Caenorhabditis elegans: one gene and its partners. The protein of the gene in region 2 interacts with the protein of the main gene of each other region in a pairwise test. Each region holds a gene or a part of one and is shown on either strand. Other genes may lie near its edges. The genes, in order: gla-3, sma-9, aptf-2 and egl-43.

The links.
Region 1: the proteins of sma-9 (region 2) and gla-3 interact in a two-hybrid assay, tested with the Caenorhabditis elegans proteins (one large-scale study listed by BioGRID).
Region 3: the proteins of sma-9 (region 2) and aptf-2 interact in a two-hybrid assay, tested with the Caenorhabditis elegans proteins (one large-scale study listed by BioGRID).
Region 4: the proteins of sma-9 (region 2) and egl-43 interact in a two-hybrid assay, tested with the Caenorhabditis elegans proteins (one large-scale study listed by BioGRID).

Annotation. Positions count from the first base shown.
Region 1 is NC_003279.8:8,213,049-8,218,102, reverse strand, and holds gla-3 (C3H1-type domain-containing protein), read right to left. Parts: upstream 3,406-5,054; coding exon 3,355-3,405; intron 3,310-3,354; coding exon 3,148-3,309; intron 3,074-3,147; coding exon of another isoform or gene 3,068-3,073; coding exon 2,975-3,067; intron 2,929-2,974; coding exon 2,593-2,928; intron 2,536-2,592; coding exon 2,415-2,535; intron 2,069-2,414; coding exon 1,716-2,068; intron 1,641-1,715; coding exon 1,565-1,640; intron 1,505-1,564; coding exon 1,046-1,504; intron 974-1,045; coding exon 725-973; intron 670-724; coding exon 530-669; downstream 1-529. Other genes in the region: Protein dhs-3, read left to right, coding at 1-88, 3,920-4,037, 4,828-4,901, 4,947-5,042.
Region 2 is NC_003284.9:10,771,410-10,776,099, reverse strand, and holds the start of sma-9 (Transcription factor sma-9), read right to left. Parts: upstream 3,010-4,690; coding exon 2,446-3,009; intron 2,394-2,445; coding exon 2,238-2,393; intron 2,170-2,237; coding exon 1,632-2,169; intron 1,208-1,631; coding exon 756-1,207; intron 571-755; coding exon 495-570; intron 271-494; coding exon 1-270. UniProt on the Caenorhabditis elegans protein: Transcription factor, probably acting as a transcriptional activator and repressor, involved in the TGF-beta-like dbl-1 signaling pathway.
Region 3 is NC_003282.8:13,413,032-13,417,862, reverse strand, and holds aptf-2 (Transcription factor aptf-2), read left to right. Parts: upstream 1-1,811; 5' UTR 1,812-1,908; coding exon 1,909-1,920; intron 1,921-2,991; coding exon 2,992-3,483; intron 3,484-3,531; coding exon 3,532-3,875; intron 3,876-3,931; coding exon 3,932-4,187; 3' UTR 4,188-4,303; downstream 4,304-4,831. Other genes in the region: Pelle-like serine/threonine-protein kinase pik-1, read right to left, coding at 1-70, 955-1,066. UniProt on the Caenorhabditis elegans protein: Sequence-specific DNA-binding protein that interacts with enhancer elements to regulate transcription of selected genes. Required for neuroblast and epidermal morphogenesis, perhaps acting in cooperation with transcription factor aptf-4.
Region 4 is NC_003280.10:9,953,288-9,958,218, reverse strand, and holds the start of egl-43 (Zinc finger protein egl-43), read right to left. Parts: upstream 3,035-4,931; 5' UTR 3,034-3,034; coding exon 2,914-3,033; intron 1,209-2,913; exon of another isoform or gene 1,207-1,208; coding exon 1,105-1,206; intron 1,050-1,104; coding exon 919-1,049; exon of another isoform or gene 872-918; intron 1-871. UniProt on the Caenorhabditis elegans protein: Probable transcription factor, required for migration of the hermaphrodite-specific motor neurons (HSNs) from the tail to the gonad primordium during HSN cell differentiation. Required for phasmid neuron development.

The DNA of each region.
Region 1 (5,054 bases), on a different chromosome or scaffold from region 2:
AAAACTCGGTGCAAGATTAGTGTTATGGGATATAAACGAGCAAGGAAACAAAGAAACACTCAAAGAATTGGAAGCGATGGGAGTTGAGGTTTGGACTTGCAACATTTTTCACATTTATAGATTTATTAGATGAATGTTCGCTAAAACTTACTACAACTACAGCTAACTATTACTATTACAAAGCTAGTGTCAAGAGCGGCGCGGGCTCGTTAGAAATAATGAAAACAAGTGTAAATGGAACAAAAAGTGAAGAAAAATACAAAATTTAAATTATGAATATCGTACTTTTGTGGATGGTATCCGTATCACTTGAGGAAAACAAGATTATGTGGGTGGGAAAAAGCTGGAAGTATCCATATCCTCTACAAGAAACCCTAAATACATACAAAAAACTAAAGAAGAGCTGCGAGTAGAACAAAAATTACGATGAAAAAGGACAAAATGATAAAGTATAAAATTTAGAAACTGAATTGGGTGAGAAATGAGAAAATGATTACAATAATGGGCTTTAAAATCATCGCTGGTCCTCCTAAATCGAGTGACTCTGATGACAGGCGTCACCGAAGGGGCACGATCCGGTGGCTGCAAAAAAATCGCAAGGTTCCAGGAATGAAGGCGTCTGGCCGGCCGATGATGACGGAGTGAAAAGGCTTTTCGATCCTGAGCCGTCTAAAAAATAGCCGATATATTGGAGGTTCTACTCAAATACTAAAAAAAATTTTACCGTAGTTTGGTGTCTTTTCATCTACGAAAAAGAACATTGGAGAGCAGGTCATCTTGCTTGATGTTGTAGTTGAACATTCGGAAGATTGCAGTGGCTCCTTGAGAGTTTCGGCGATTTTTAGAGTATCAAAATCGAACATAGAACACTTTGGTTTTTCGGTTGCTACTTGATCGAGCAGATTCTCGTTGCTCAATAGTTCCATCAAAGACATCACGACAGGACTTGAGCTTTCGCTGGAGCTTAGTTTATCTGAAATTGATGGATATTCAGAACTATAAATTTTTATAGAAATTTTTCGAGTAAATTAACCAATAAACATACCATCTCGATCGCCTTGTCTCACAAAATCATTAGCCATCATCATTTCCTCGTCTGTAATTGGATACTTGTCTGATCGAAGAGCATCCATTTTTGTGAGCAGACTTGCCGCAGAACTCGATTCGTTGATCGTCGCAGCTCCGCGAGTTCGTGTCATGGCTCCGGACTGTTTTTTCGGCTTCGGCTCGAGCCAAATCGAAAACGAGTCATCAGGTGGGAGCAAGGACTCCGAGATCTCCGGTGGTGAGAGAAGAGCCGCAAACGGATGTTGAGGTCCCTGTTGATGCGAATAACGGTATTGCTGAGCAGCATGATGCAGATATTGCTGATGCTGGTGTAGCTGATGTTGTGACTGATGATGATGATGGATTGGATGTTGATGTGGGGGACGATGACGTCCTGGCATGAAATTTGATAAACGATTTCCAGTTCCATGGTAATGACAGTCCGAAGTATTTGGTTCTAAAATGTATGCAATAGTTCGATCAATTTTCCTATTTATTTGGTTGATTTCAATCTTACCGTTTCCTGCAAGTCGTGGATGGTATGGTGGGGTCATAGGAGCATTGAAGTGATGACCATTACTCATTTGATCACTCTGAACAAAAATTGTTTGAATTTTTTTAAATCTAAAAGAAATTGTGAAAAAAGAAAAACCTGAGACACCACTCACCGAAGTTTGCCTAGACACGTCACGCTCGTTGATATATCCTCGCTCTATCATAAAACGAAGGTAGTTCAAATCTTTCATTTTCAGTTTAGACAAAAGTCGATCCATTTCCGAATTTTTCTGTTGAGTCGGTTGACGATCATTGGGTCCAACTCTCTGTCCGCCTATCTCTATGTCCTTCTGACGTTGATAGATTTCACCAGCAACATTCCAAATCGCTTGTTGAAATTGCGGAGGGGGACCGCCGACCTCTCGTGAAGTACGAACATTGGATCTTGATCTTTGGTGCTGTGGTGGGATATGGTATGCTCCAGATCCCAAACGATTCGGATCTTGACCAGGGATGTTGACTGGCCCTGTAACAATGAATTTTGATTTAAAAAATCTCTGAAGAAAAACTTGTCGTAATTTCACTAGAATTTGACATGTTTTCTTGAAGGCGCACGGATTCATTCAGGGTCTCGACGTATAAAAAGTTTATGATAGTCTTTTTTAATTTATACTCCAAAAACTGATTTAAACTAATTTTAGCAAAAAAAATGAATAGAAAACGATAAAGATTGATAAAAACTAAGTCATTGTTTTGAAAAATTCAAGAAAACGAGAAATCAGCCGCAACAATTCAAAAAGACTACCATAAAAATTTCAGCGGGCTGAGACTCATTTCATTAAATTCGAGAAAACCTCGTGAAATCTCTATACCTCCAAATTGTTGAGAAGGAACCCCTTGCGTAGCACGATTCGAGGAACGTTGATGGTGTCCATGAGATGGAAATCCAGCTGAGAACATTGACTGTTGCGGGTATGGGAACGGATTCGGAGACTGAAAACAAGTTGTTCAGTTTCAACCGAAAGTTATTCTTGAAGTTACAAAACTAACCAAAAATCCGTAATCGTCAATATCATCGTCACGAGAACATATTTCATGCTTCTTTTCCTGTTCTTGCTCGACACCGTTTTTAGATAATGATGAAATCGCATCCTTCTCTGCAGCTGAGCTGGTTGGTGGTGGTACAGCTCCAATTGACATGGAAATCCATCTTTCCTGAGCTGGAGATAACGGCATCGAAGAGTTTTGTTCTTTGAAGGCAGTATTCGATGGAATATTCACTGTTAATCCTTTGACGTTGGTTGATGCACGCTTTGTCGGCGACTTTTGAATTTCAGCAGTAGCCGGTCGCTCATTCTCTTCTTCGTTCGAACGATCAATCCGGACCTGAAAAACCAGATTTCTTTGATGTTTCCTACGCTGCTTAACTGACCACTTTACGAAGATCGTCTTCACCGTGAGCATACCAGCACGCGTCGCCATACGAACAGCTGCCCGAGCGTCGCCAGTGATCGCAAATCTTTGTCTGAAACTACAAGGAATGAGTAGATCTTAATTAAAATATTGAAGTGTTAAGAAATTAAAACGTTTTTCCAAAAATAGAACCTTCCTTAATGCGGGGTTATGCTCTCGATTGGAGGTAAAATTTTGATGTTGCCAAAAACATTGAGAAGAATCTTGATACACCGTGTAGTTCCCTAGACTTTCTAAATTTCTGACTGGATCCATATCTGAGTTCAATAGAGGCTGAGGTTGAAAAGAAAACCCCTGAATTTTATTATAAACCAAAAATACACTTTTTCCGAAAATTACCGGCGGAGCAGGAGTAAGTCGACTTTTTAACAAAGATGGTTGATAAAGCATGGTTGGGTGAGTAGGATGGAGAAAATAAAATGTTTTATTAAACACTAATTTCTAGTTATTTTTTTAGCTTTAGTTTTTTCCTCTACCCCCTTCTGCTCTAGTTTCTCACGAACTACCGCTTTTCTGATCTTACTTTCGGTTTTGGGCCGTTTGGTTTATTGCCGTTGGTGCTGTTTGTAAGCGCATCACGGGGATCTATGACGACGCTGAAAATTTTGTTTTTAGCAATTAGTTATTCATACGAAGAATATACCTTATTTCCTGAGTTTTTGACGCAGAGCTACTCATCTATTTACAGAAAAATACGATTTAGAATCTGAAAATGGCTTTTTTAAAAATATTTTACTCAAAAATGGGAAACAAAGAGAAGTTGAATAAATTTAGGTAAGCAAATGAGAAAAAGTACAAATTCAAATGACACGCTAAACAACGCGCGATCGTCATTTCGGAGTGTCGTTGTGCGTTTCTCTGCGTCTCTGCGATTTGTATACTGTTTCATTTCTATATCTTTCAGGCTAAAGCATACACAGTGGACCTATCGGAATACAAAGAAATCAATAGAACCGCCGATTTGGTTAAAAGTGAAGTAGGGAAAGTAGATATTCTCGTGAACAACGCTGGAATTGTGACGGGTAAGTACAGTCGGCTGAAAACATCCAAACTTCTGAAAAATTCATGTACAATACAAAAACACAGTAAATAATAATTTTGTTCCTTATAGAGTTAATTTTTTCCTGTAGAAGACACGAGACCCGAAGAACTCGGGGGATGTCCAATTGGGGGGATTACCAACTCGGGGATTGGCCCCGCCCACAGAACCGTGGCTTGCAATACGCCCATTTCTGCAACTGCCGCACGGTTTTGAAACTGTATTTTTCTTGTTAAATCTCGCTCTATTGAGAAAAATACAGTTTCGAAACCGTGCGGCAGTTGCAGAAATGGGCGTATTGCAAGCCACGGTTCTGTGGGCGGGGCCAATCCCCGAGTTGGTAATCCCCCCAATTGGACATCCCCCGAGTTCTTCGGGTCTCGAAGACACAATGAAGAGTCGCAATACACATGGTATTAATTAAATGAATTTGAATGGCGCGGCGGGACCCACTGGCAAAAAAGCACATCCCTTGCTAATTGCATACTGTAGAGATTTAGAAACATACGAAGTTTAGCGTATTACATATTTTTCATTTTAAGCGAAATATGCCAGATAAAGAGAGAAAACAAAAATCAATAAAATAAATAAAATGATAAGACTTTCGAAAAGGTTCAGTGAACCCATTGTTACTTCACACAAAAATTACAGTAGTAATTTGAAGAATTACTGTAGTTTTCGCTACGAGATATTTTGCGCGTCTGATATGTTGCGCAATACGCATTCTCAGAAATTAGTATTCCCATAATATCTTTTCATAAAAACATTTCAAGGAAAAAAGTTGCTGCAATGTCCAGATGAGCTGATGGTCAAGACTGTTTCAGTTAACACAAATGCTTTGTTCTTTGTAAGATATGACTTTTGTTGAAAAGAGAATACCGAAATTTTCCAGACTACCAAAAATTTCCTTCCCGGCATGCTCGAGTCGAATAAAGGGCATATTGTAACAATTGCTTCAATGGCTGGAAAGTGTGGTGTTGCTGGATTGGTAAGTGATTTA
Region 2 (4,690 bases):
CTATTTGTGCTTTTTCTAGCTCTTTTTTCTTTCCGCAAACAACTTCGTGAGCTTGGAGACCAGCTTCATTGGGAAACGTGAGTTTGCAGTATATACACTCCGGTGTGTAGTTAGGATCATTATGTGCCTGAATCGGACGAAGCAATGGCTGACCACTAGTCAAGCTGCCCATGAAATGTTTTGATCCACTAAGCTCGAATAAACTCTGGCTCCGACTAGCAGCTTGCAACATACGACTGTCTTTTGGCCCAGGCGAAGTTCTTGTTGATCCTGAAAAATATAAAACATTAAGGGACAAACGGGACAATCACAATATTCATCAATATATAATATGCAGATATGGACACGTGCAGACACGCACTGGCATGCAAATCGAGACGGTATAGCGGAAACGTTGGGGCGAGTAATAGAAGGAGACAATATCTTGTCTTGGGATAGAAGGACAAGGGTAATGGAGCGATGCTTTCAAGAAACTCAACCACACCACAACTCACCACCACTATTACTGTCGTGATCGACCGAGGATTGCGCACCTATTTGCCGATGGTATGGCCGCTTTTTGCGAATCACCTGTAAATGGACAGATTCGAAGACGTCAAACAGAAGGACAAATGAGATTTGAAATTATGAATAAAAACATGAAAGGTTTTGTTTTATTTTGGTCTGGTATTGTTTCCGTATCATTTCATCAAACTCCAGGGGGCGAATTATTCAAAAAAAGAAAACCCATCACGCTAGAAGAATTCGGCACTCACCGGGTCTCCTTGAAGAATGACTTCGTTCTCAGAGATGATTCGGCTGATGTGGTCCGACATCGACTCGTTGCCAGACGATGCGGCCTTCGACGAGGAAGGCTGCTCAAGTGGTTTGGAGAGCGAGGGGGCTAAAATCTGATGACTGCTTGTGGCAGATGCAGACGTAGATGTGGATGATGGATTCATGGAAGGGTTAGAATTTTGTTTCATAGGTGGCACAGCAACAGGCGTGCGGACTGCAGCCGGTGCCGTCGTTACCGCCACCGTAGACGGTACCGGCTGCTCTTCTCTCCTTGCAATACCAATTGGAGTTCCCATGGTGATACCACCTCGAGGAGCAGGCGTCGAAGAAATGAGCAACTGACGATGTTGTGCCTCGCGCGCCTGATTTTGCAGCATCCGCTGCTGTTGTTCGTTCAGCATTTGAGCCAACCTCTCTTCTTGTGACTCTGCTGAAGGGGAAAAATATTGGGTAAGCGTGTTTGAACAACCAATGGTTAGAAGGTGGTGCACAGAAAAAGAGAAGAAGATGATTCAGGAGAAAAGCTGAAGTAATGGTTACAAAAATCTCATTCTTTATCACTTTCTAATTATTGTTGGTTTACACACTATCTATTTGCATGCATATTTCAAAAAAAAACAAATGGAAACAAAATGTTCTATGATATTTTTGATGTCATATACGTATATCGGATAATTTTCAAAGAGTTGTGGTGTGGTTGTGTGGTTGAACGTATGTGGACTGGCAAAAAAGGGAAACGATGGAAAACGGGAAGGGAGAAACTGGGAAAACAGAGAAGGGAAACAGACACAGAGTTGTGAAGCGTGTGAACGTGAGAAAATGAAAACAGAGAAAAATACAAAATTTAAACGTACCGTTTGGGGTTCCATCGGCTCTTTGCTGCAGTTGCATAGACTGAATATATTGCAGTGCTTGAGAAACTGTTCTATTTTGAGACTGCCCTTGCTGTTGCTGTTGAGCCTGTTGAGCTAGTTGTGCTTGCTGAGCTTGTTGAGCTTGTTGAGCCTGAGCCTGTTGCTGTTGGAGAAGCAGTTGCTGTTGAAGCTGGGCTTGCATTGTCTGTGTAAGATCATTCAACTGTGGAGTTGAAGACAATGCAGGCGTCGATGCAACCGACGGGCGTTGTTGTGAAGCATTGTTCTGAGCCTGAGCTTGTTGGGCAGCCGCACGTTGCTGATGAAGCTGTTGCTGTTGTTGAAGAAATTGCTGCAGTTGTAACTGTTGTAATTGTTGTTGCTGCTGCGCCTGCTGCTGTGAAAGCTGCTGAGCTTGTTGCTGCTGCAATTGCTGTTGCTGCTGGAGTTGCGCCTGTACCTGGCTCTGTTGGGACGGCTGCATTTGTCTAGACTGGACATGCTGAGCTTGTTGAGCTTGTTGTTGGGCTTGTGAGATCTGAAGAAAAAAAAAATAAAATAACGCCAATTTCAAGTTATCAACATGCTATTTCTGTGTCAACTCACCTGTAGAACCTGTTGTAACTGTTGCTGCTGGAGCTGTTGTTGTTGAAGTTGTTGCTGTTGCAGTTGCTGCTGCTGAAGTTGTTGCTGCTGGAGCTGTTGTTGTTGAAACTGCTGTTGTTGAAGCTGCTGTTGCATGTGCAATATTTGAGCAAATTGCTTAAAATAAAAATCAAAGTTTCGAATTATCAATTTTGTACTAAACACAAACCTGTGGCGTGACTTGCTGTTGAATAGCTGCTAATTGAGCTTGTTGTTCTTGTTGCCGTGCCTGCGCCTGTTGCTGTGCCTGTTGCTGAGCCTGCTGCTCAGCTTGATGACGAGCTTGGGCTTGAGCTTGTTGTTCTGCCTGTTGTCGAGCTTGTTGCGCTTGTTGAGCTTGCTGAGCTTGTTGTGCCTGCTGTTGAGCTAATTGATGTTGCATAATTTGTTGTGGATTCTGAGTATCAGTCTGTTGCGCATTAAGTGCCTGTTGCATCAAAAGCATGTTAACTAAATTTTGTCCTTGTGGTGTTGACAAAGCTTGCAGTATCTGAGCATTCATTTGCAATTGCGGCTGGTTTTGTTGTGAAGCAACTTGTTGCTGTTGCTGCTGCGACTGTTGTTGCTGCTGGACGTGCTGCACTTGCTGTTGTTGCTGCGAAGCCTGCTGCTGCTGAGAAACACTTCCAGGTCCATTAGTCTGGAGCTGTGCTTGTAATAATCGTTGATGATTTAGCTGCTCACGTTGTACCTGCTGAAAGTTGTTCGAGATTCCAATTGCCTGATGGCTCATTCGCCAATTCTAAAACCACTTTTTAAGTTTGATTCATGTAAGTTAAGTTCATCGTAAAACAAAGTGAGATAAGGGGGAAAATGAGAGATGAAGACGTATTACAAAAAATAATGAGAAAGTGATTGGAACCATGTGACGTTCACATGAGACCATAATTAGCATGAAAGTTACTTGTCTACAGCAAACTGGGTACAAGGTTCACTTTTAATGATTCGGGGAAGAGTGGTCACGTTTTTTCTTCATTCCTATCAATTCAAACGTCGTTCTGATTTGATTCATACTGATTTCTCTAATATGTTTCATTACAATGAATGAAGGGGAATAAAAATAACAATTACTAAAACCGTTGCCAAATGTTTTTAAGACTGTATACAATGTCTTGAAATAAATCATTAATCAAAACAGAAGACAATATATTGTCGTTCATTCTTTTTCTATTCATATCAAATCAAGACGCAAATTGCCTCACTTTGACTCCTGCAACAGATTGGAGGCTCTCATGAATGCAGTTCAGTCTTCGAAACGGTTACCCATTACTCGCGCAATCTTTTCACTCACACTATCACAATTTAAAAAAACGGGAAAAGAGTACGTCACCTCAATTCTTCGTCACCTTATCACAGATTTGCAGCTCTTGAAAATGTTCAACACTTCTTTGTAACTTGTGATTGTGATCGATTAGTATTCTATGAGACTAAAAGAGTGTGTGACATACACATTTGCTGCTCTCTGTCCTTTTCTCTCTCTTTCTTTCTTTTTCTCACTCAATGTTCATTGACTTTTCCCGTTATCATTACCGGGAGACCGGCTGTTGGCCAAGTGATCAATGACTCTATGGGTGCTAAACAGGGCGCGAATGATTTGAGAGGGACATTGGAAAAAGAAGATAGAGTGGACTATTGTGAAATAACAAAATGCAAGAGAAGTAGAGAAATGGGAAGAAAAGTTACCAAAAAAAGTGAGTGTGGTTGGTTGATGGCAAAATTTCGTACAATTAAAATATTAAGAGGACAATCAGGGCACCAAATTGTGGTGGATAACTACTGTATTACTTTAGTTTTATCAAAACTGATATTAATGGAAAACAAAATTATTTATTACATATAAATTTAACTAAACACTTGGAGCATCAGGTTTAAAAAAATAGTTTTGATATGCAGAAAATGACTAAATACATTTGAAATTTGAATGTTTTCTAGTTGCTTTCGTTAACAAAAAATCAAAGCCAAAAACTATGTCTATTAAAGCTAGAAAATGGTTATTTTTCAGTCAAAAACTCCTTTTTTAATTCAAGTTGTATACTGTAGTTCATTTATGTAGTCTGTTTTTCTCAATAATTCAAATGACTAAAATAGATGTATCTGGTAGCTGCAAATATTTATTTCACAGTTCTGCTGTTTTTTTTTTAATTTTTCGCCAAGAAAACTTCAAGATTTAAATTTTTCTGCACTCAAATAAGCTAAACCTCACCAATTACGGTACTCTATTAACAAGTTTTCATGATTAATATCTTTATTTTCTCTATCTCTTCGGAAACAAATCATTCAAATCTTGTAAAAAGCGTGTAAAAAGTAAAAGACATTTGTGATAAAGAGAAAAAACACTCATTGGCTCAGAAGAGATGCTTGAGCCTTGACAATTCCGAAAGATCCTTTCTCGTTTGAACCCAGAGAAAACGATA
Region 3 (4,831 bases), on a different chromosome or scaffold from region 2:
CTTTGGTTATAACTTGAATATCTCTTGCAACCTTCAACATCTCTCAACTCAATTCCGGGCATGTAAGGTGCTGAAATTATGGATATTTGAACACTTTGCTATTTATATTCCCCAGACGTGAAATTTTGTGATTTCTCTGTCTAGGTCTCGACGCGACAATTGTTTTGTTAAATGCGAAAATGTGTGCGCCTTTAAAAGTGGTGTAGTCGAATTTTTGTTATTGCTTTATTAGACTCAAAACTATCTGAAAACACCGAATTTCATAATGAAACTTTTTGAAAACTTCTCAAAAAATAGTTATGACAGCTCAAAAAATGACCTAAAATTTGTTAAAATTTGAAATTTGACCGACTTGTAAAGCGGCTGGAAACAATTTTTTTGAAATCACCGTCAAATTTTGAGTATACATGTCAATTAACTTGCGTTTTCGACTACTACTTTACAATTAGGTATTTTAAAGTCGATGGACGGCGAGATTTGGTTTAAAAAAATTGTTAAAAATCTCGTCGTCCATAGACTTTAAAATACTTAAATCAAGTTGAAAACGCAAGATAATTAACTGGTATACCTACAATTAGACGGTGATTTCAAAAAAGTTCGTTTCCAGCCGCTTTACAAGTCGGTCAAATTTCAAATTTTAACTTATTTTAGGCCATTTTTTAAGCTGTCATAACTTTTTTTAGAAGTTTTATTAAGAAATTCGGTGTTTTCAGACAATTTTGAGTCTAATAAAGCAATAACAAAAATTCGACTACACCACCTTTAAAGGAAAACTATAAAAAAATTCGATGAAAAATCCGCAGATTCGAATGTTTGAAATAACTATTCTTTAAAGTGCTTTAAGAATTAAAGGCGCACACCGTTTCGCATATAACAAAAATTTGTCGTTTCGAGACCCTATTTTTGGAGCAAAAACCGCGAAATTTCAATGATTTGTTATAAAAAAGTCCGAACCAATCGTCTCCCAAGTGTTATCCGTATCTAAAATCGCACATATTTGCTGGAGAACTTCTCGTTTCATGAATGGAATCATTACAACTTCTGATACTCCAAGAGAATCATCCATTGTCTCTGAAAAATTCCAGATTATTTTTAAAAATATGTATTTAAACAATTTTAACAAGTTTAATTTTAAAAGAGTAGCTAATCAAAAATTATTTTGCTTTATTAAACTAAAAATGGTCCCAAAATATCGAATTTCATAACAAGACTGTTCAAAAATGCTTTTAAAAGGTTTATTTCCGCTAAAATCTCCAATTTCACCAACTTTTCCGTTTCACAGCGATCGGAAATTGATTTTTATCTGACTATTGCCCTATTTTGCTCATTTTCCTATTTATCTTCTGTTTTTTTGTTGATTTAATAGTTTGGATTTAAAAATTAAAATTTTAGATGATAAATTAACGAAACAACGCAAGAAAACCAATAAAAATATTCAAAATAGAAGAAAAATCAAATAAAAATCAATTTCTAACCGTTGTGTAACGAAAAATTGGGAAAATTCTATTTTTTCTTCGAAATTAATTTTTTTCTCGTTATAAAATTCGGGGTATTCGGGCCTTTTTGAGTATAATAAAGCAATAAAACTCCTCCTTTGATTGGTTTTTTGAAAAAATGTATAGAATGTTTTGAATGTGTTTTTATTATATTTTTAAAAATAAAAATATTTTAAATTAAAATTAAAATTTAATATTTAATTAAACTTATAAAACGAACAATTCTGAAATTCCAATAAATCCAAAAGCGGAGGAAAGCGGAGTGTCGTCACTTCCTCTCGTCGTCTCATCCCTCTCCCTCTCTCTACATTTTCTCTCTCTTCCATTCCATTACTTGGCACATTCTTCTGGAGATGTCACCTAGAAAACAGATGTTTTTGCAACACTGGAAGAGTAGATCAATAATAAAAGAATGGATATACAGGTGAGCGCGCACAGATTTGATCTCCACACCATAAACGATTTACAACCAATGAGGTCAAATATTGTAGAAGGCATTCGATCTACCTTATTAATGTCATTTCTTTCTTCCCTTTTTTTCAGCTTTTTTTTTGCTTTTTTTCCATAATTTGGAGGTCTGGCAATAACAATTTTACTTTCAAGCTGGAGTACCGAAATCTGAGACTTTGTTTTTTACACCCAAAATAGCCCAAAAATACCGAATTGGTAATGGGACGTTTTGAAAATTTCTCAAAAAAAAGTTATGGCAGTTGAAGGTTCTGGAAAAATGGCACATTTTCAGCTAAAATCAAAATTTTGGTCAACTTCTCGGTGTCACAGCGTCTGGAACATCATTTTTATGTAATTATCACTATTTAAAGACTATTGCGGTCTTCTATTAAGCGTTTATTCGTTGATTTAAACATATTTTCGGTAAGTGGGACACAAATAAAAGTTACATTTTTGTGCCCCACTGACAATAAATGTACTTAAATCAACGAATAAACGCCTAATAAAAAACAAAAATATTCTTTAAAAAGTGATAATTGAATCAAAATTAAGTTCCAGACGCTGCGACACCGAGAATTAGACAAAAATGTTGATTTTAGCTGAAAATTAGCCTTCTTTCCAGAACTTTGAGCCACCATAACTTTTTTTTTTGAGAAATTTCCAAAACGTCTCATTACACAATTCGGTAGTTTTGAGTCATTTTGGGTCTAAAAAAGCAAGGGTTCAGATTTCGGTACCCCATCTTTAAAATATTCAAATGGATCCAAATGCTGAAATCCCACAAAATTAAGTTTTAGAAATACAGTTAATTTCTGACGAATTTTTCAACTTTCTGCCGAAATTGATAAAAAAAACCAAAGTGCGGCACAGAAAAATGGGCGTGGTTAAGTGGCTAAAGTGCGGAAATTCAAATTATTCAAAAAAGGATATTATGAAGAAGCGAAAATTCGTCACAATCAACTTTTTTGTTAAACTCTGTAAATTTATATTGTCTGCTTTTGAATCCATTCGCGTATTTTAATTTATTCATTTATTACTTTTTCAGATGTTCACCACGCTCAACTCTACTGTTCCAACGGAACCCGTGGTGGGACCTGTGGAACCTACAGTACCTACAGTACCCGCCACAAAAGAGACTGGCCCTTCAAGCTCTGCAGAGTGCTCTACCCAACCCGCCGTTGCCGAGCAAGAAGACAACTCCCTTTTGGCACAACTTTTAAAAGGAAAAATCACGTCTGATGATGCAAAGTTGCAACCACCACGTGGACCTTTCGAATACGCACCGATGCTCTCCGAGGAGGCACAATTTGCGATTAAGCTGGCGGGTCTTCTCAACCCGAATCCGGTCACTGAACAGGACCCGAGCACTTTCAAGCCGCCTCCGAAAATGAGCAATAATGTTCGAAAAAACATTAATTTGACTCCGGTTATTGAGAATGCAGTTCCGAGTGGATTTGAACTGGAAAGTCCGAAAGATCAGGCATTTGATGTGGTTCATGGAAGACTATCTATGGGACAGAATCAGACATGTTATTTTGTACGTTTACGGTAGAAGTTCAATATTAAAATTTAAATAATCTTCCAGGTCACAGTCGAGGAAATGAGACGAAGATTGCAAAGTCCGGAGAAGCTCAATAGTTCGAGTATCGCATGCAATCTTAAAAGGCCAAAACTGAAGAATGGAGGTGAACTGATGCGCGCTCAACTGAGAGATCATGGAATCAAGGTTCAACTGAATGCGAAACAGAAGGCTTTTCCCAACAAAGTGATCGCTTTGGTCGAAGCGGAAGCTGTTCATTTGGGACTTGATCTTGGAACAGCTGTACGAGATGATTATCCAGTTCAAGATATAATTCAAGAAGTTGCTCATGAAGCATTGGCTGACGAGGATGCAGATCTGGATGCGTTGATGAATGATAAGGATTTCACGTAAGTTGACTATATTCCAATTTCTCAATTCTGACGCCAAATTCCAAATATTTCAGAGAATGTATGTCAGCACTTGAATCAGTTTTCACATCAGTCGTCCCTCCGATCACTGGAATCGAGCCAAAACCGTCGAACAACATGCGACTGAACAATGGAATGGAGACCTTTTCATCAGCTTCACATGGACTTGGAATCGTGTCTCAACGGGTTTGGCTCCCCCAATTGACTGCAATCGGAAATGGAGTCGCATCTGAACTTCGACGCTTGACAGAGACGCCAACTGAATCAAAGCCAGAGGAATTGAAAGCATAAATTCATATTTTCATATTCTGATATTTAAAACAATCTGATTACCAAGGTCTCACTTATTTTCCATGATCTCTATGATGTTTTCACTTAATTTCAATGAAACTTTTTATTTATTTAAATCCTCATACGATGTTCCTTAGTACTAGGAAATGCATCATTAAAAATGATTTTCATATTGCTAGTACGTCTTATAGAGTAGCTTCGAATTCACTTTATACATTTGAATAATATTGAATTTTATAGGTTTTACACATCATTTTGATCATTTTGATGTGTAAAACTTTGAAAAATTCATTATTATTCAAATGTATAAAATGAATTCGAAGCTTCTCTATAAGACGTACTAGCAACATGAAAATAATTTTTAATGATACATATTCCAAAACTGAAAATTAGGAATTTCTTTACCCCCGTTCCTCACGTGAAAACATTTATTGACCCTGTGGCAATGTGCGCTTGCGCGTCTGCGTCTCCAGAAGGCGTAATCTCTCGTGTTCAAACACTTTCTCAACTGACCATTTGTTTGCGTCGTTGCCGACGGCTTAACCATATGTTGCCTTTTCCCCCTTACATTTATACAAGACAGTAATATTAATAAATCGGTTTGATCTACAAAAATGCGGGAATTTTTTGGTCAAAAAATGTGA
Region 4 (4,931 bases), on a different chromosome or scaffold from region 2:
TAGATAGTTTGATACGAATAACGATTTAGAAAAATCTATTAAATATTAAAATTAACCCAAACTTTTCAAATCTAATCGGGCAAGTTCAAGGTCTAACGTAAAAATTGAAACCTAAACTTTTGGGATACCAAGGAATCATCGTCTAAAAATTTAAGAAACATAGAAAAGATGGTAATAACACAAATTAAGTTAGCGATATAAAGATTTCGGAAAAAAAGATAAAAATTTATATTTTCCGCAAAAAAAACGATTGATTCTCAAAAAAGATGCAAAATCTAGATCCGCTTCCTTCCCCCGATGCACACCCCTCAAAATAAATCAACGATTTCCTTTGAGGGGCTCAAATACCCAAAAAAGGGCTCCTCCGGAAACCGACACGAATTTGTCATCCAGAAGCGGTAGAATCTATATGTAAATGAACGGGACACAAAAAAAGCGGGCGGGCTTCACTTGGAGATGCTGAAGGATGTGCTCTTATCGGAAATCCGTTACTTTCACCGCGCCAGTGAAAACTATCGAGAAAACGACGGGAGTTAGAAAGTAGGACGATGAGAAGAAAATGACAGAAGATTTTCATGAAGATTCACATCTTTCTTCCGTTACTTTTCCGTTAGAAATCGAGATTTATTTTCGAATATTCGCCTGTGTAAGACCGACAAAACCGGTTTGAAATTTTTTAACGCTGATCTCAACAACTCAAAAATTAAAGGTATACTCAATCTGCTTTTTAGAAATTGTTTTATGTGTAATTCAAACATCCTTCTATGTATAGCAACACAGAACTTCAAATCATAGAAAAAATTCCGGAAAATTACAGTTTTTGCAACTTGTTCAGTTATCGTTCCAATTTCAAAGGTGAGAAAAATCATACCTTTTTAGCATGCTCTTTTTCTTGTTTCTTTCAAGGGTCATACTCACCGATCTTCATCTTTTAACAAAATTAAATTCTCAAGATCATCCTGATCCTCCTCATCACACTCCTCTTCGGACAGTCTTTGTAGAAGAAGACGCTCTCCAATATTGATAATCTTACTGGTTTGTAGAAAAGTCTGAAATTTTTCTTATAGTTAGATAACTTCCTCATTAAATTTATCTAATAATCACCTTTCTATCCTCCTGCCTCATACAAATATTGGCATCTTCTCCGTCATCAGCTTCCTTAATCAGGTTCAAGATGAGAAGAGCATTCGAATCATTCGGTGTAGCCTAAAATAATAATATTTATAAAATTAATGTAAGTGATTGTTTTTAGTACTTTTTCTAAATGATGAGTGTAGAATCTAGGATCTACATAAATCGTAGTAAAAAAATGTATGCCTGCCTGAAAGGTGACCTTCGACGGCCTCGTGATAACATGGATTAAAGAAACGATTGGCACGCTGGGTAGGTTTCTCTATGACCGCTTGTAAGACAACGGTGATGTCTCTTCGGACTTAATTTTACAAAAAATGGACACGAATAGTTATAAAAAATTAAAGTTTCAAGAATCCCTGTATTTGGCGATGCGTTCTTCAAAACTGCATATCCAAATTTTAAGTTTTCACTTCATTTGATATATTGCGGACTGGAAAAAGATGACGTCACGCGCGTCACACCGTGTGACACCAGTTACAAGACTGCATTATTTTTCCTGCAATCTCTGTATATTTTCCCACAGATCTTCGCAGAAACAGTTTAGTACCTCAACAAGGGTTTTGTTGGGCGTACTGGGTTTCCTCCCTCAATTATTTCACAAATCGCACACATTCTAAACTCATTCTCGAAAAAATCTTATTTCATTTCGGCCAACTCACCACTCTCTGTGCTCCGTGAGCTTCAGCCCAAAAACCCATCAATATCTAATAAGAAGAAGCAGGAGCTGTCGCTCTCTCTATCGCTTCTGGAATCTAATTTTCCCACTGTGAGAGCAGGTGGTTTGCCTTCACCAAGCAACCATAAGCAATCAGTGGCTCTCTCGCAAAAGATGATGAACTTTTTCTTCAGTGGCTTCTGATTCTGAGTGACTGCCGCTTGATGTGGTGTGCGTGCGTGATAAGCCAATCAGTGTGAGAGACCCGTCGCCGGCTCTAGATGATAAACAACTGGGGGAAATACACTAATTCAATGATGGAATTGTGACGAAGTTGGATAACGACGACAGCTACAGTAGGAAATTGACGGCTTGATCAACGGATTCAATCCCTCTCCTTTATTGATAGAGCTCCTCAAATTCTTCTTCCTATGGAAACCTAGCAATTATCCATTTTCCCATCAGCGACTGTATTCATCAATTACAGTCGATCATCGAGTCTCTTTTCCCATCTCGGATCCCCCATCCACCAAGGCACCAGGTGTTCCGATTTGTAAATCCTAATGTAATGGTTACTAGTGTGCCCCCAAGGTTAACAAAGTGGTAATGGACGGGGGGAGCGGGAAAGGTGGAAAGACAGGTGTAAGGAATTTTTGAGGAGAAGAAGCAGGGAGGAACACATGGCGCCAAACATTTCAGGGTCCCGATAATTGCGGTTTTGGGTTCTGGGAAGAATTTGTAATTCGAACGTTGAATCATTAGGAAAGGATTTGAAAATGTTGGCGAAGGTACTGTAGATTAGGTAGATTAGGCACCAAGGTATCAATTTAAAATGCTTGTAAAAATATTTTAAAAAAAGTTTTGTTAATTTAAAAAAGTCATTATTTTATCAATTACAACCTAAAATTACTGTTATCATATAACTACTAACTAACAAAATATGAGTGTAACATCTGAAAGCTTATTTCATAGGTTACTCAAGCTATAAGATATTTCAGTTCAAGCGACCTGTATTTTTTCCGGTGGAGTTTTTTAGACGCCCGGGAATAAGCTTATACTTCTTTTTCTAGCGGACACCTCTAAGACAATGTCTACGGCGTAAAAATTGTACACCAAAAGCTCACCTTATCAATCACACCGATGGTCCTTCCGAGTGCAATTTGAGTTACTGCAATGAGCACATTTCCATGTAGCTCATCCTCCTTTACCTCAACACTCGTGAGGAAGTCTGTGTCGATGCTCATCCTGAAAACTTAGGAAACTGTACGTGGGAAGAAACAAGAACTGTACAAATTACAAGAACAGTTTTGGGGCGAAAGATGAGTAATACATCTTGTGAACGAGAACAATGCAACGAAAAAGTTGGATATGGCTGTTCAAGGCTGGCTTTGTCATTGAGAACGAACAGGGAGGAGGAATGGTACGGTAGATGTACGAATTTGGGATAGGAGTTAGGAGTAAGCTGAGAGATATTGGAGGGAGGTGTAGTTTGGGAAGAGATTATTATTTTATTGAATTTTTTAGTAGATGGTGAAAAAGTTTACAAGCCCAATTCATTTGGTAGATGAACTGTAGGAAATTCGTTTGAGATTTTTCATGACAAATTTGCTAGTCAGTTTTAAAATCAAGAAATTCTTAATTTAGAGATTATTTTTTGAGGGTTCTACACCACCACAATGTAGGATACAATTTTATTGAAAAATTGACATATGAGAAGATTGCTCTTCAAAATTTGACATTCTATATTTGATCCAAAAACTCGAATGTCTCTCCAGAAGTCATATATAGTAAAAACGTCAAGATACTTTAAGGATACTTCAACTAACCAGAAAAAAAAGAAAGGAAGATGGAAAGAGGCGCCTTCCATTTGTGGATGCGAGAGGAGCGAGAGCCTCTCCTGTCTCAAAAAGTGGGCGGGTGGAAGAGATGGAAGACGACACGCCCATCAGCCAATCGGTAGAGTGACAGGATGCTTCAGGTGAGGAGCATCTTCACTTGAAAAGTTGCAAGTTTCGAAAACCCCACGTTACTAAAGACTATTTTAATATAGAAAATTCTTAAAGTAGAATAGCAATTTTTATTTACTTTCTAACATATGTACTTCGATACTTAGAAAAATAAACAAAAGTGAAAATATCTACACCTACTAAATTAGAATCTATTGAGCATTTCTAGTAGAAGCCAAGCCGTTTATTTGTCGGCTGAATGTCTGTAATAAGTTTCCTGATATCATGAGGTGAAAGCAGAAGACAAACGTTTTTTCCAGGAGTAGGCTATCGCGAGACTCCATCGAGGTCGGCTGCGAGTTTACCGAACTGCTCAATAATCAAAGACCAACTTAAAAACTATAACAACTATTGACTTAGTTTGAATTTTTGGAAGTAAATTGCTGGACGGAAAATACAACAGGGTGTAGCAGTTTGCCGCAGCTTTGAAATTATACATTTGAGGACAGTCTAGAACCATCCAAAAAATCAGTGACCCCAGAGTTTCCAGTAAAAGCGAGCAAATGGGAGCTATTTTAAAGTAGAGGTGTGCCCCTCCACCAATTGTGGTCTTCTTCTGACGGATGTGCTGCGCTTTTCTTCTTCATGGTCCTCATCTTTTTGGAAGAAGGGACGGGACAAAATTGCCGCTTCTTTTCTTCTATTCTTTCCGTTTTTCTTCTCCTCATAGCTCCAGGTGAGCGCACCGAGAAGAGCTTTTATATAGGAGTAATAAAAGGTGGGCTCGTCCATTCTACAGAAAAATAGAAGAATGGAAAAGTTGTGAGGAAAATGGAAAAAAAGTTAGAGACATTCAAGTGATACAGTATTAAAAGTGTCATAAGTGTAGAAAGAAAACGGTCACATTTTGAAATGAAGAATTGTTGAACAAGAGTAAAATATTTCGAAAACCTTGAAAATTTAAAGTTATGGTGCTCATCACTTGACACATGATGTGCCATTAGAACTGATAATAATGATATGATAACAAAAAATGGAACTTTTTTTCTGAATCGGAGGCAAAAAAAACCTCGCGTAAGTGACAATTTCCCATCGAATGAGTGTTATCAGATAGTTTGGAAATTTTGTGAAGACGATTTTTCCAGAGAATTTTCCAAAAGGTAGGCTGCCTACTGTCTATTCTTTTGAATTTTAAC